Linked DNA regions of Schizosaccharomyces pombe. The gene in region 1 interacts genetically with each later gene. Each region holds a gene or a part of one and is shown on either strand. Other genes may lie near its edges.

Region 1 (4,267 bases):
TTTTTTTTCTCTAAATGAAACGAAATGTACAATCCTAATTATCAGTCTATATTGAATATATAACAATAATAGTAACAATGCTATCTATGAAAACAAGAAAGAATTTGCAATTAAGGAACGGTAAAACTATTATAGAAAGAAGGTACGTTTAAGTCAATTTATATGTCTGTATATGTGTTGTTTATGTAGCGGATTTCCCCGGATACCTCTCCATATTTAAGTTATTGTGGGATTTTCACTATCGTTACCTCTATTGCGATACCAACTTTTCTAGGTAACAACGTTCAGCCCCTTTCGTACTGAATGTTGGTACAGTTTACATGTGTAGCCGACTGCATCGGAGGAGGAATAACTATCGAACATAGTCAATTCCGATGACAGACAGCCTGAAATTTTCGCACTTTTAAAGAGGAACTCGCCATTTTCATCACTTCTACGTAAAATGTATAGCGATGCCTCCAAAGTACAAGAAAGAATAGGCGGAAATTAATAGAAGCTACAGTCAATGGCATATATCTTCTCAAAAAAACGATTAAAATATTCAATTTTTATTAAGTATATATTTCCCATTGAGCACTTAAATGTTCAATTGAGACTTTATAGATTTCTGAACAGTTGCTTGTCTAAAAGATTAAAGAAAGATGAACCAAGGTTTATTCATATTCAAGTTAATTGCTTGAAAACATACGTTTGTGTTTAATCGTATGTATCTCTCATTGAAAACGTGAAAACATATGGATTTTATCAACAGATTTTCTGTGACTTGAACATTATATTTCTTTTTGGTGTTATCCTTTTAAGAGATATCAACGGAATAGTAAAACACTGAGTTGCCGAGATTACAACAACTGTATAAAATAAATAAAAAAGAACGGTAAGATCGATAAAGGAAGAGAGAGAAAATAAGTATAAGCATGGTAGATGTTGATTAATCTCTTTTCATTTTAATGTACATTAAAAATGTGGCTAGTCACTCATAACAATTATTCGTTAATTAAATCAAATCATAAACAAATTGAAGTAACCTTAGTCCACATAGGTACTAATGTAGTATGTTAAAACAGCCGTATGTTCATCTTCTGGATCTGTTATATAAACATAAAGTACTAGCGCATGTCCTTCACAGAAACCTGTAATGTAAAAAGGTTAGTTCGTGGTCATAAAAAGGATTCTCTCATAGTACATACACGCTATTACACGCTTTGCAACACTGGATATTTTTAACATGTTGACTAAGTCCTTGCTGTCTAGTCTCATGTGAACAAATTCTTCGGGTGCCCTTGTTTGAGAGGGATGTCGACTGATGTCTTCGACTTGACTAGGATCTAACTCTGGATTCTCTAATCCTTTCCATTTTGTGCTTACTCTAGCTGAAGGTATGTTTACCGATAACTGCAATTCGCCTGACATGTTGGCTGACATTATAATACGGTCTGAAAGACTCTTGTATTTGTCCACGACGTGTCTTAGAAAATTCAGTTGTGGAAGGAATATATGACAGTCTGGTTCAGGAGCAGTTGGTTCCTTAATAACTGACACGTATGATTGTGATAGTACTCGAACAGGTATATTATGAGTCACAATATTCGAACCAAACGCCCTTCCACTCCAAGTGGTAGACAACGAAAGTAATGGCTGGTTATTCTTCTTGGATAGACGAACAGTAGAATCACTAGCGTTGGCCGCTGATCGTAAGGCTTTATAGAAATTATCTATAGGAACTTCTAGATTTATCACGTTGTCTGCATTGCTTTGGACGACATAGTCCTCAAATATTGTTTCCTTTCCGTTTACGTTAGTTAGGGCAATCAAATAGAAAAAGATAGTTAATCATACGACTTCTAAAACTCTGTTTCTTTATTAGTTTCACAATGTGATTTTTTTCACCGTTAAATGCTTAATATCTTCACTTACGACCAAACTTGAGTCATCCTAAAATCTGGCACTATCACAAAATTTACAGTTTCAGGCATCAGACGAAGCCAGCAAAATCTTCCAATTTTATCTAGCGCCTGAACAAGACCTAAATTTGATTAGTAAACGAACTTTCTGCTGATCTTTTCCAACTTACGCGTCAACGTGTACAAGTTGCTAATCCTTGTTTTAAATCTCATTTTCAGTCTTTGATTTAACTAATGAGATTGAGATTTTTTGGCATTTTGTTTATTCAAGCGTTTAGCAGGTTAAAGTCGACCAATAATAAATTTTCGGTCGAAAAAACTACGAACGCGTAAAAGCCAGCTAAGAAATAGCAAACTGGGCATTAGCAACTGCATCGCAATCTTTATTAAGCAAATGCAAATTTTAATGGCAAGTGGAATAAAATTAATGAATAAAATTTAAAAAGATTTACAAAAGTCTTAGAGTCTAAAAAAAATTATACTCAAGAGCCTATTCGTTGTATCATTTATTTCATACGATTAGCTATTCCTAAATTTTAAATTACATTAAAAAAATAAATGGCAAGTAAGAAGGGTTCTAGCTAGAGCAGGAACATTGAATTTGGCTTTTGGAGGGAGTAGTGTTATAGCATAAATAATCCTCTTCTTCCTTGGAAAACCCCCAAGTATCTTCGAACGGACAGGCAGCCATTTTACACACTTTTTTAAAAAGCTCAAATTTCCCGATGTATGCTTCTTTAATCACCTCTTCAAGAACCCAATTTCTAAGAGTAAAATGTGGGTTGACTTTTTTCATGCTCGCTAATCGGGATGAATCTTCCTGAGTTTTCGTTGCTTCACTATATCGACCAACCCAATTAGTGAAAGCTTTGACAGATTCATTTCTAACTCTTTCATTATTCGGGTTTAGACAAATACATGCTTGCATCAATTTTGCAGCATATTCTTCATTCTCCATTGAAGAGGGAGAGTTTCTAGAAAGAAAGGAAAAACAATTTGGCATATCCAATTCATAATCCTCCAAAATTTGTAACAAATCAGTTATCAGAATTTTGTTAGATGAGTCAGAGGGAAGACCCACTCGTTTGAACATAAGATCATAGAAATCATTCTGGACAATATTTTTATACTCTTCTACTATCTTTTCAAAAACTTCAGAAGTATAAGCAAACGCCTTTTTTAACAAATCAGTAGAGTTATGAAGTTGTTCCATATATTGCAAGTCATCAACTTTGTCGCAAGCTCCAATTAACTCAACCAAAGCAGATGCTAATTTTGATAAATTCCAAATAATAATATCAGGTTGGTTGCGATATGAATATCGCAAAAATACATCGTCATGATTAGGTGTAAAAGATGGGTTGTAAACATCTAAAAATCCAAAAGGTCCATAATCAATTGATAGTCCCAGTATACTGGTATTATCAGTATTCAAAACACCATTCATAAATCCATATGCTTGCCATTTGGCTACAGTTTTAGCATTTCGATATGCAACATCTCGAAGAAGTTTTTCGTAGCGATTTCCAGTATCTCCACCATGAAATCCATCTTTTAAAACGAAATTTAGACAATAGTCGGCTAATTTCCGTAAAGACTCAATTTGATTATTAATCCCCTGGAGATCGAAAGTCCCAATTCTGATCCAAGAAGGGGCCATACGGCAAACAACGGCGCAAGGCTCTACAGTCTCACGTTGTGCTACAACACCTTCAAGATTGGAAATTGCCAGAGCCTGTGTTGTTGGAATGCCTAGAGCATATAAAGCTTCACAACATAAATATTCTCGAATGCTAGATCTTAAAACAGCCTTTCCATCTGCAAATCGAGAGTATGGTGTTCTTCCTGCGCCTTTGACTTGAATCTCAAAGCGTTTTCCAGTTTCCGGGTTGGTAAGTTCGCATAAGGATACTACGCGGCCATCACCCAACTGACCTGCCCAATCCCCAAATTGGTATCCTCCATAACATTGCGCCCAAGGACAACACTTATTGACATCAACGTTAGAACCGACAACAAGCTGTTGAAAAGCTTCAGTTTGAGTTTCAGATTCTTCGAGTCCTAATGACTTCACGGACGAAGGGCTATAAGCTAATAATTGAGAATTGGCTTTTAGTGATGGAGTCAAATAAGTAAATAAGCCGCCGCCTTCCACAAATCGAGGAACATGTAAGATTCTGTCATCAGCCTTTTTCATTGCCTGTACGGTCGGTACCAGTGGATCAGGCGGAAGATTTGATGTGAACGTTGAGCTGACAGGGAGATCCTTCAATTTTTTTGACATCGTATTGGTATATCGAATTAATGTTCTTTGCATACCAATGTTTGATTGTGCCCCAGTGTAAATTTGCTTACTTTATTGATTA
Region 2 (7,738 bases), 3.4 Mb from region 1:
TCGTTACCATACAGACCACAAACTGATGGACAAACTGAGCGTACAAACCAAACTGTGGAGAAATTACTAAGATGTGTATGTAGCACACATCCAAATACATGGGTAGATCATATATCCCTAGTGCAACAATCTTACAACAATGCGATACATTCAGCAACTCAAATGACACCTTTTGAGATAGTACATCGCTATTCACCAGCTTTATCACCTTTAGAGTTACCTAGCTTTAGTGACAAAACTGACGAAAACTCTCAGGAAACGATCCAAGTATTTCAAACAGTTAAAGAACACTTGAATACAAACAACATAAAGATGAAAAAGTATTTCGATATGAAAATACAAGAAATTGAAGAATTTCAACCTGGAGACCTAGTTATGGTCAAAAGAACGAAAACAGGTTTTCTTCATAAATCCAATAAATTAGCACCTAGTTTTGCAGGACCGTTCTATGTGTTACAGAAGTCGGGTCCAAACAACTATGAATTGGATCTTCCAGATTCAATCAAGCACATGTTTTCATCTACTTTTCATGTTTCTCACCTAGAAAAGTATCGACATAATTCAGAACTCAATTACGCTACCATTGATGAGTCTGATATTGGAACAATTCTTCATATCCTAGAACATAAAAACAGAGAACAAGTACTCTACTTAAATGTCAAGTACATTTCGAATCTAAATCCGAGTACTATTATGTCAGGATGGACTACATTAGCTACAGCGCTACAAGCGGACAAAGCAATTGTCAATGATTATATTAAAAACAATAATCTAAATATCTGAGAACATATGACTTATCCTCAGATTTACATAGAAAATCTTGGGGAGGGCAATGTCAGCAATACTACACTACGCTATAATACACTACGTTGAGTATCACTATATGTCACATGTTCTAATTATATATCGTACCATGTATGATACGATATGGAGATTGATCTTAATGATAATCTATTAAGATCAATATTATCTGAATACTATAAATAGAGCTACTGCTGAACCTCGTTCCTCAGTTCAGTTATGAGCTATATTAGTGATAGGTAACATTATAACCCAGTTAATACAATACCTATACTCAGTTGCTACTTATACAACCTGTGTATTGTAATATAATAGATCACAAGGAAAACTCACCGCAGTTCTACGTATCCTTAAATCAGATACCAAACTGCGTAGCTTACAATTTCATAGAAGTATGACCTTTGAACAAAATCACTATTTCACTTAATGCAGTGCTTAAATTCTTTAATTTATACTTAGTGAATCAGTAAATTTAAAATACGTTAAATGGCTTTATGGAATTTCCAAAGGAACTCTTCGAAGAGGAAATTTCAAATTATGTGATAGATTAAAGATTATGGCTATTATTCGATAAATGAGTGTTTTTTTACTCACTTGATGTGTGATATGTTACCACAAACAAAGTCCAATTTTGAAGGTACAAACATCAGAAAGTCCTGAATTCTAGCAACATTAGTCTATGTACGGACACTTTTCAACTCGTTTTACTTCATCTAGCTAATCATTTTCTTTAATCTAAGAGCCATTACATGTCTTTCTGATAGGATTTGTTCGGCTATGCTTGTTATTTGTTTATCGTATAGAGAGCGACTTATAGTGAATATATACAAAAACCATTATGATGATATACGAATTCTATATCGGTTATTAGGTGCTTCCCTAATACAATACTACACCCGCGCAATAATTCGTTATAACAAATCGTTACTGAAAAGACATGGAATATACACATTGGCAATGTAATTTTAAACATAATTAACTTCATTACTTTCTCATGAAGTTAATTGTATCTTAAACCATTTGAGGGAAAAAACTTGTCCTTTACAATTACTTCCGACAATAAAGGACGCTTTGCAGTGAATGTCTTATGGAATTGTTGTATTTGACGACTGACGAAACGAAGTACCTTAGCAAAATTCGTTTTTAAGTAATTCCAGCTAAATTTTTGCTAACAATATAAATCATTGATAAGGATGTCCGATGATTCTTTTAGTAGTGATGAAGACTGGGACGAATTGGACACCCAAGTAGTTGATAAAATTGAGAATGAATATCATAATAACACGATAGGTTTAAATGGATACTCAGTTGATGAATATTTTGATGCCAACGATTCCAATAGATATCGTCTACAACACGAGTTAGATGAAAGTGCAGCACAGCAATGGGTATACCCTATAAACGTCTCCTTTCGAGATTATCAGTTTAATATTGTCCAAAAAGCTTTATTTGAAAATGTACTTGTAGCTTTGCCAACAGGTTTAGGTAAAACATTTATTGCAGCCGTTGTGATGATGAATTATCTTCGTTGGTTTCCAAAAAGTTACATTGTTTTCATGGCTCCTACTAAACCATTGGTTACACAACAAATGGAAGCTTGCTATAAAATCACTGGAATTCCAAAGAGTCAAACTGCTGAATTAAGTGGACACGTTCCTGTTACAACTCGAAATCAGTATTATCAAAGTCGAAATGTTTTCTTCGTAACTCCTCAAACCATTTTAAACGACATCAAGCATGGAATTTGCGATCGGACTCGTATATCTTGTTTAGTAATTGATGAAGCACATCGTAGTACTGGAAATTACGCTTATGTGGAAGTTGTTCATCTACTTTCTCTTAGCAACAAAAATTTCCGTATACTGGCTCTTAGTGCTACCCCCGGAAATAAGTTAGAAGCAATTCAGAATGTAATTGATTCTCTTCATATATCCAGGATTGAGATTAGAACTGAAAACAGCATTGATATATCGCAATACGTTCAGAAGAAAGAGGTGGATTTTTTTCCTGTAGATTTGTCTGCAGAGATTACAGATATAAGAGATCGATTTTCTTCTATATTGGAACCTATGCTTCAAAAATTGAACAAGGGTAATTATTATCGAATTCAGAATGCTAAAGACATAACTTCTTTCACTGTGGTTCAAGCTAAACAAGCTTTTCTTGCAATGTCTGGTCAAAACTTTCCTGCTAATCAAAAATGGGATATTTTAAATACTTTTGATGCATTAGCGACTTTTGCCTATCCTTTAAATTTGTTACTCAACCATGGTATCCGACCGTTTTATCAAAAATTGCGAGAGGTAGAAGAAGAATGCTTTGTAGGAAGATCAGGTTATAAGAAACGCATAATAAATCACGAAAATTATCGTCCTTTAATGGACGATATAGAAATTTTGTTGCGAGATCAGTCTTTTGTCGGACATCCCAAACTAGAGCATTTGGAACGTATTGTTACAGAATATTTTGAAAAAGAACAAACCAAGGATACCAGAATTATGATTTTTGTTGAAATCCGCTCTAGCGCCGAAGAGATTTTACGATTTTTGGGTAAATTTTATCCAAATGTGAGACCAGCTATTTTTATTGGACAATCTGCTGTGAGAAAGGCTGCTGGAATGTCTCAAAAATTACAGAATGAAGTATGTAATCTGAAAATGATGGATCCTTAACTAACTAATCTCTAGACTGTGAAACAATTTCAAAAAGGTGAAGTCAATACTTTAATAGCTACCTCTATTGGAGAAGAGGGTTTGGACATAGGTGAAGTAGACATGATCATATGTTACGATGCATCTGCTTCTCCTATAAGGATGTTACAAAGAATGGGCAGAACTGGGAGAAAAAGGAAAGGTTATATTTATATGCTTTTGACGCGAGGCAAAGAAGAAGCAAAATGGGAGAGAGCCAAAGACGCTTATCGAACTTTGCAAGATAATATTGTCAGTGGTCGCGGTCTCAGCCTATCGGAAAAAAGTTATAGAATTTTACCAGAAAAGTTTCGCCCGGTTTGTGATAAACGAGTCATAGAAATTCCCAAAGAAAATGAAGAAGTTGTAGTAGCTCCAAAGAAAGTGCAATTGAGAACGAAAATAAAAAAGAAATTTTTCATGCCAGAAAATGCCTTGAATGGATTTATTACTGCGTCCGCTTTAGGTAAACCGAAACGTGCTTTAGCCAAGTCTGAAGAATCACCGTTCGAGATATGTCCCGTTACATATAGCATTGAACAAGAAAAGAAACTGGAAAAATATAAGCGTGTTTGCTTAAGAGGTTTGGATATTCATAGAAATAGGAGGTTATCTCAATTGAGTGTTACAGGACGGATACCGCATTCTCTAGCTACGAAAAGTATACATTCATTTTTAAAGCATTTAAATACTATAGATTCGCAAAAGGCTCAGGAGTGGAGAAGAGAAATAAACAACCAATTCCAAGTATCAAATATCAACTCGACGGATCGTGACACAAAACAGCCAAAGATGCATGACTTTAGACAACCTTTACACCCAAATCCGTAAGTGTTTAAACTATTGAGTTGTTTAACGATAATTACAGATTATTAACATACAGGATGACAACTTTGAAAAGGAAAGGACAACATAATTCATTTTCTTACGACAAGTCTACACTGTTTTATGACAACAACAATAATTTAGAGGAAGACCTCCCGGATGTAAATATTTCTATATCTTCAAGGAATGAAGAAGCATCCAAGACAAAACCATTTGACGACCGACAACAACGCCTTCAGCAACTCGTAGAGAAAAGGAAACGTATGAAAGGAATGCTGATTTAGAGAATTAAATAGTGTTTAGAAATAGCCTACAACGTTTTCAATTTGTAGTCTAACTCAAAAAGATATTCGTAGCATTCCATTTGAGTTTTTGATTTTTCCCATGTTGCTCCCCAACCGATAACCCCATGTCCACGAATAAGAACAGCACATGTTTGTGGATAAAGCTCGATGACTTTTTTTAGTTCATCTAATATTGTTTTACTATCGCCATTGTGGATAACTACATAATCAGTATTCAGATACCAGTCAACACCAACAGAAAACACAACTTACTAGGAACCTCTAGAGTATCAAAACAGCAAAGATAGCCTGCTGAAGGATTTCCCTTTGGAATTCCTTTGATCATTTCCTTAGATTGTGTAGTAAATTTCTCATTATACATCGATGCTCCGACTGCAGCGACTGAAGTAGAATATATACAGGCTACTGCATCCATATTACTTTTGATGTGTTAAAAATTGCTGTAAATAGAAAAAATGATGCATACCTCAAAACCCATGAGAAAATGTAGGCCCAATTGACTAAATCCTTGGTGACTGACTGATTGCTGTATAAAAGGTTAGATACTAATTGGAGCTGATCCAAATGAATAATTTACCTTAAATTAAAGGTCACGATATCGTTTTCCGTTATGAAGTCTCTTTGAACCCTGTCCTTAACGCAAATTGCATAACCACTAAATGTTAACAAAATCGTTTGAATACCGTACAATTACTTGTTCTTTAGACAAAAGTTTCCACTAAATACCAATTAGCTTTAAAAAATTACTGAACATTAAACGTCTTGAACGCTACCTGCCAAATTTCATCCATCCAAGACTGTAAAAATGAGGAATAAGTTCAAGAATCAAATTTTTCTCTAATTGGAGACTCATTCTTCTAAAATTTTCAACTTTAACCTTTAAAAGTTCCCGTACTATACTCAGAAATGATTTATTTAATGATCGGTTCTTTCAGCAAAGTGAGTAGCGTTTCATAAGTTGCGTTTGCAAATTTGATATTAAAAAGTAATTGAAGGAAGACATATGTCACAAAACACTCTACACAATCATTCATTAAGCTTATAATACACGAAAACTTTTACTTTAAAGAAAAAACAATTTGAACAAATAACGAAATAAATTACCATCTAAAATTTTAAGTCATTGTAACCCACCTATTAGAGTAACCAGTTAAATAAGTTTTCAGGCCTATATATTCCAATACTGGGAAACCAAGGAAAGTAAGATGTTAGGAAAAAAGACTTATTTTTTGACAATCGTCACTACATCCTCATCCAACAGTACATGAGATAAACCAACACGCATGCCAGGATAAGGAACGCTTTTTCCCCAAACATAAGCATGTTTAAACTGGGATTTGATACTTGAATGAATATTGTTACACTAAAGAAGTTAGCAACACGAAGATCGGCAGAAGCAATTCGAAAACTTACAAAATCCTCGACAGTAGAATGGCCAGTACGAAGGATAACAGGTTCGCTGTAATCAGGTTCAAGACCTCTAGGGCGTGTATAGACTCTAACCAAATTCAAATAGTCCCACATCGTTTCTTTAAGTTCGTCAATGTTCCAACCCCTGTTACCACAAATGGGTACGGCGTTAGGAATACGATCAATCAAATCAAGTTCTTCAATAGAAATTGAATCAATTTTATTTAACACGTAAAGTGCCGGGATATAAACGCGATTTCCTTCCAAGACATCAATCAAATCATCAATGGTGGCATCACAACGAAAAGCAATGTCAGCAGAGTTAACACGATATTCGCTGCAAACAGCACGAATTTCGTCCAAATCAATATGAGTCAAGGGGACAGTATTGGTGATATTGATACCACCACGTTCTTTCTTTTTGAATACAATGTTGGGGGGTTCCTTATTTAATCTTATACCAAATCCTTCCAATTCCTCTTCAATAATACGCTTATGAGACATTGGTTTCAATACATCCAAAACAATAAATATAAGGTTGCAAGTACGTGCAACAGTAATAACTTGTTTACCACGACCACGACCATCTTTGGCACCCTCGATAATACCAGGCAAATCCAAAATTTGAATTTTTGCACCATTGTATTGCAAAACACCCGGAACCGTTGTTAAAGTTGTAAATTCATATGCAGCGGCTTCACTTCTCGTTCCTGTAAGCTGAGTCATGAGTGTACTTTTACCGACGGAGGGAAATCCAATGAAACCTACAGTACCAATACCGGTACGAGCAACATCGAAACCAACTAAGAAAGATTAGTACTCCAAACAAAAATTTGACGTTCAGTACATACGCCCTCCACCACCTCCTCCACCGGTAGGGGTGATCAATTCACGTTTCAATTTTGCAAGCTTGGCCTTTAACATTCCCAAGTGCTTAGCCGTAGCTTTATTTTTTTGGGTTTTGGCCATTTCATCTTCAACTTCTTTTATTTTTTGCGCCGTAGTCGCCATTTTGTTTTTTTATTATATATGAAAATGCTATGAAAATGGTGAAAAGAAAATTCTATAACTAAGTACGTATAAGATCTTTTGCATTATTGAGTGCTAAGCAACCCTCTTTATTTTATATTAGTGTATTAAACCACATTACAACAGCCAAACTATTATTAAGATACCAGGTAGAATATCACGTTGGATCTCGATATTTGTTCCTTGTTGTAAGTAAATAAAAAAATATGTGAAATATTGAATCCAGTTATTCAATAGAATTTCATAAATAAATCTTTTTTCTTTTGCGTGTCTTTTTTTATGCGTTAGATCAATATAAAATATGTATGTATATAAAAAGTTGATAATTTTGTTTTGTTTTTCTTACACAATTTTAATGCAAATATTAAATAAATAAGATTGCAAAAAAGTAGTTGCTGATTGCGCAAAAGCTTGGATTAACAGTATTTTTTGATAAATAAAAAAAGAAATAAATAAATTTAGTATGTTCTAAGTCAACGGCAAATGAATTATTATTCAGGGGTTGAAGATAATGTCAGTTAACAAGGTTAATTATCGGGTCAGGGTAATAATTAAAAATTAAATAAATAAAAAATATCTGCGGCTGTTGCGTATAAACAGTAGACGGATGAGCAATTATCCCCAATAGCCTAAATACAAAATATAAGAACACATAGTAGAAACTACAAAAACATTTTT
Region 3 (3,903 bases), 570 kb from region 1:
GTTACAGATCGATTTACTAAGCTACAAAATTCAAAAAACTTAAAAAATTCAATACTTGCAAAGCAAAGAAGCAGAAAAAAAGATCCAAAAAAAAAGGATTACATTTATTTTGTTGAATTTATTATTTTTTTTAAAAAATAAATAACTTAACTAATGAATCACTATTTAGCAATTCTCTTTAGATTTGAATCCATAAAAATCATAACAATAAGCGAAGCAATATAACTGGTATTTGCTTATAAAATGAGCGATTCATGCAAGCAGAAAGTTCTTTAAAAACAAAAGAAAACATTAAAATAGATTTAGCACTTCACTTTGGCGTTATAATATCTCCATGTTTTTTTACATGATCACGATACACTCGATATGGTAAAACCAGTGTATACTTTGGCATAACAAAATCATCTCCAACAAACGATTCATCCTCAACATATGTTTTAAGAAATTGTAACACTTCGGTTTGATCAGCTTTAGTGAGGTCGATGTATATATACAACAAATATGAAAATTGGAAAATGGTATTAGCAGTTGCTTTATAAACCACAAACGATTGGTAATATTGTCTACCTTTGTTATAATAGTCTATAACATCAGGAATAACACTGTTTTTTTCCTTTTCATTAGAGACATCTTCTCCTTCGTAATCGGCAGGTGCCAATGTTAAGTATGGCGAGCTTTGTTCAGACATTGTTCTTGCTTTCACAGGTAAATTGAGGTTGCACTGGGATATGAGTATACTGTAAGCAAGGCGCGCAGCATCTCATATAATATTCTTTCAACGAGCCGACATTAACTAGAATTTGCCAACGTAAGATCAGAATGACGTTTTGATCCGCACGAAATACGTCGGTAAAGGAACCTTATTAGTAGAATATTGCAATATTGTTCGTTGTCTGCATACTACACAAGCGATACCATAAACTGGTTACGATTATATTTTCGACGATTCAGTAGCAGATATGGCGAGTTTCAAATAATACTCTCTTGGTAAAATGCCTATTATCCAACATTGTTCCATGAATCAAGGCTATTGTTCTATTAAAAATATTACGTTGAGCAATTCAAGCGGCTTTCTCACTACGGTATCTCAGTACCGTAAAACCACTGGTTTATTCTCATAAAAACAACCTTATGTTACACAGACTTACATCTAGCCAAGTCAATAGGGTTTCGGTAAAGTTCCAATGTACTTTTCATCCTATTCCTTATCCGGAAAAAGGAATCGATCATTTTTCCAGAATTTCTGATGGTACATTACCTTTTCGAGATCTTTTCGTGGTAGTAAACTGCGAGGTGATTTACATTTTACAGCCGTGCTGCCACCAAAACCACAAGAACCTCAATTTGGTAATCTTAAAATTTCTAATTTGTTCCTTCTAGAAATCCTTTTTTAAAAGCTATAATACATGGGAATTTTCAGTATAAATTGGCTGGTCCCTTTCCTTGTATTTACATTCTTTGGTCGATCATTCTTTATGGAAAAGTAACATGTGATTTACTGAATCGACTCTTTGACGTGGATACTACTGCTGGTAGCTAAGAACCTTTGTGTGAGTGAGCAAAGTAAAAACTGCTCGATTTTGAGGAGTATAATACATCTAGCAAAAATTGAAAATTTAATAAGAAGCTCTAAGCTAGTTTTGGAGAAAGCGTTGTTCGGGATCTCGTAATATACATAAATAAGTATATTTGCTAAACGATGGGAATTAAAGGTATGTTACATTTAACGCTAAAGAGTTTATCTTTTACTCTCTCCTTTACTTAAAACTAATCTGGGTTAGGTTTGGCTCAAGTACTAAGCGAGCATGCCCCAGCCAGTGTCAAACATAATGATATTAAAAATTATTTTGGACGGAAAGTGGCTATAGATGCGTAAGTTGAAAGACTAAATAGAAAGCGAAAGTCTCAGTTGACTTGGCAAAGACTGTATGGCTTCTGATTTTGTTTGTAAATATGGGTTAAACACTATGGTGTACAGTTTTTATTGCTAAAGAGCAAAGCTCTATGTCTTAACTCGAGACAAAGATATGATACAAACGAAATATAGAATAAAGGATGAATAAATTTTCACTAACAGTGACTCGGTTAAATTCATTGCTCAAGGTATTTTACATCATTTCTTTACTTTGTTGGTTCTTGAAGTTGCAAACACTAATAGGTCAAACTCTATTCAACTGATTCTTTCCTTTTCGAAGGGTTGATTTATAAAGTCTTCTTGAGGTACTTTATTAATGCTAATTTCGTATATTACAGGTCAATGAGTCTTTATCAATTTTTAATTCAAGTTCGCAGTCAAGATGGTCAACAGCTAATGAATGAACAAGGCGAGACTACTAGTCATTTAATGGGAATGTTTTATCGTACACTCCGAATTGTCGATAATGGAATAAAGCCTTGCTTTGTCTTTGATGGAAAACCACCAACATTGAAGTCAGGGGAATTAGCTAAACGTGTGGCCCGACATCAAAAAGCACGAGAGGATCAAGAGGAGACAAAAGAGGTTGGTACAGCTGAAATGGTGGATCGGTTTGCCAAACGTACGGTCAAAGTTACTCGGCAACATAATGACGAAGCAAAACGTTTACTAGAGTTAATGGGAATTCCCTTCGTTAACGCACCCTGTGAAGCAGAAGCTCAATGTGCCGCTTTAGCCCGTTCAGGAAAAGTTTATGCTGCTGCTTCTGAGGACATGGACACATTGTGCTTCCAAGCTCCTGTACTTTTGAGACACCTGACATTTAGTGAGCAAAGAAAGGAACCAATTAGTGAGTATAACATAGAAAAAGCATTGAATGGTTTAGATATGTCGGTGGAGCAGTTTGTAGACTTGTGTATTCTTTTGGGTTGTGACTATTGTGAACCTATTCGGGGAGTTGGCCCCGCTAGAGCCGTCGAGTTAATTAGGCAATACGGGACTCTCGATCGCTTTGTCAAAGAGGCGGATCGATCAAAATATCCTATTCCGGAAGATTGGCCTTATGAAGATGCCAGAAGACTGTTTTTGGATGCAGAAGTACTTCCTGGTGAAGAGATTGAGTTGAAATGGAAAAGTCCCGATGCAGATGGCATTATACAATTTCTGGTTAAGGAAAAAGGTTTCAATGAAGATCGTGTTAAATTGGGGATCAATAGACTAGAAAAAGCCTCAAAGACAATTCCACAGGGTCGTCTTGATTCCTTTTTTAAACCAGTCCCTTCTTCTCCCAAAAAACCTGTAGATACAAAGAGCAAAGGATCAGCAAAAAGGAAAAGAGATTCAAATAAGGGTGGTGAAAGCAAGAAAAAGCGTTGAAAACGAAGTCATGTAATTGTTATTAATCTAAAAAAAAAACTTAAAAAAAGCAAGACGCATGTAGATAAAACTATACTACGCTATAATAATAGTAAATCTGTTTAATGCATGACTTTTACGTAAAAATAATTAGTCTAAGGAGGTAATTCTGATCATATAAGCTAATAATGGTATACAAAACTCGTTTCTAAGTAATAATATGCCAAAAAACAATCTGGCTGATACAACTCAAAAAACGAAAAGCAGTGGATTCGGACGATGGATCAAAGATCTTTAAAATAGTTCAATTTCTTGTGAGCCAGATTCTTGCATTGAAGAAGCGTTCTTCAAACTAAGAAATATGTTCCTAATTGAAATTAGCAAAGGCGAAAAAACTAGGAGCAAAAATGCTTTATGTCTCTTGGAAACAACATACCAAAAAATAGCAACCGTACAAGCAAATGGCATTTGGTATTGTAAGGGCATTAGCCAAAAGTTCACAGTTTGAAAGAAGGGCCAGACCATATAATTAGCCTTTAAATGTTAGCAACAATACAACAGAACCATTTAAGAAAGAAAATTTAGAAATTAAGTGTACCTTTAAAGTGGGCCAGAAAACAGCTTGAAGTTTA

Evidence for each region. A genetic interaction does not mean that the proteins touch.
Region 2: mutations in hus1 (region 1) and fml1 together harm fitness more than expected from each alone (negative genetic interaction), as found in Schizosaccharomyces pombe (2 studies listed by BioGRID).
Region 3: mutations in hus1 (region 1) and rad2 together harm fitness more than expected from each alone (negative genetic interaction), as found in Schizosaccharomyces pombe (2 studies listed by BioGRID).

The regions. Positions count from the first base shown.
Region 1 is NC_003424.3:4,820,465-4,824,731, forward strand, and holds hus1 (checkpoint clamp complex protein Hus1), read right to left. Parts: upstream 2,240-4,267; 5' UTR 2,115-2,239; coding exon 2,072-2,114; exon of another isoform or gene 2,024-2,071; coding exon 1,915-2,023; exon of another isoform or gene 1,850-1,914; coding exon 1,837-1,849; exon of another isoform or gene 1,783-1,836; coding exon 1,188-1,782; exon of another isoform or gene 1,131-1,187; coding exon 1,027-1,130; 3' UTR 523-1,026; downstream 1-522. Other genes in the region: fmp40 (adenylyltransferase), read right to left, coding at 2,479-4,185. UniProt on the Schizosaccharomyces pombe protein: Essential in controlling the S-M checkpoint that couples mitosis to the completion of DNA replication. It is also required for the response to DNA damage.
Region 2 is NC_003424.3:1,469,066-1,476,803, forward strand, and holds fml1 (ATP-dependent 3' to 5' DNA helicase), read left to right. Parts: upstream 1-1,768; 5' UTR 1,769-1,994; coding exon 1,995-3,443; intron 3,444-3,488; coding exon 3,489-4,318; exon of another isoform or gene 4,319-4,374; coding exon 4,375-4,600; 3' UTR 4,601-4,626; coding exon of another isoform or gene 4,627-4,820; 3' UTR 4,821-4,873; coding exon of another isoform or gene 4,874-5,040; 3' UTR 5,041-5,087; coding exon of another isoform or gene 5,088-5,147; 3' UTR 5,148-5,198; coding exon of another isoform or gene 5,199-5,276; 3' UTR 5,277-5,315; coding exon of another isoform or gene 5,316-5,339; 3' UTR 5,340-5,394; coding exon of another isoform or gene 5,395-5,474; 3' UTR 5,475-5,843; coding exon of another isoform or gene 5,844-5,984; 3' UTR 5,985-6,034; coding exon of another isoform or gene 6,035-6,834; 3' UTR 6,835-6,882; coding exon of another isoform or gene 6,883-7,042; 3' UTR 7,043-7,210; downstream 7,211-7,738. Other genes in the region: Tf2-1 (retrotransposable element/transposon Tf2-type), read left to right, coding at 1-783; SPOM_SPAC9.06C (5'-methylthioribulose-1-phosphate dehydratase), read right to left, coding at 4,627-4,820, 4,874-5,040, 5,088-5,147, 5,199-5,276, 5,316-5,339, 5,395-5,474; SPOM_SPAC9.07C (GTPase Rbg1), read right to left, coding at 5,844-5,984, 6,035-6,834, 6,883-7,042. UniProt on the Schizosaccharomyces pombe protein: ATP-dependent DNA helicase involved in DNA damage repair by homologous recombination and in genome maintenance. Capable of unwinding D-loops. Plays a role in limiting crossover recombination during mitotic DNA double-strand break (DSB) repair.
Region 3 is NC_003424.3:5,389,058-5,392,960, reverse strand, and holds rad2 (FEN-1 endonuclease Rad2), read left to right. Parts: upstream 1-1,538; 5' UTR 1,539-1,699; coding exon 1,700-1,712; intron 1,713-1,781; coding exon 1,782-1,872; exon of another isoform or gene 1,873-2,049; intron 2,050-2,057; exon of another isoform or gene 2,058-2,253; coding exon 2,254-3,292; 3' UTR 3,293-3,375; downstream 3,376-3,903. Other genes in the region: SPOM_SPAC3G6.07 (uncharacterized protein), read right to left, coding at 311-688; SPOM_SPAC3G6.05 (Mpv17/PMP22 family protein 1), read right to left, coding at 3,566-3,638, 3,708-3,805, 3,870-3,903. UniProt on the Schizosaccharomyces pombe protein: Structure-specific nuclease with 5'-flap endonuclease and 5'-3' exonuclease activities involved in DNA replication and repair.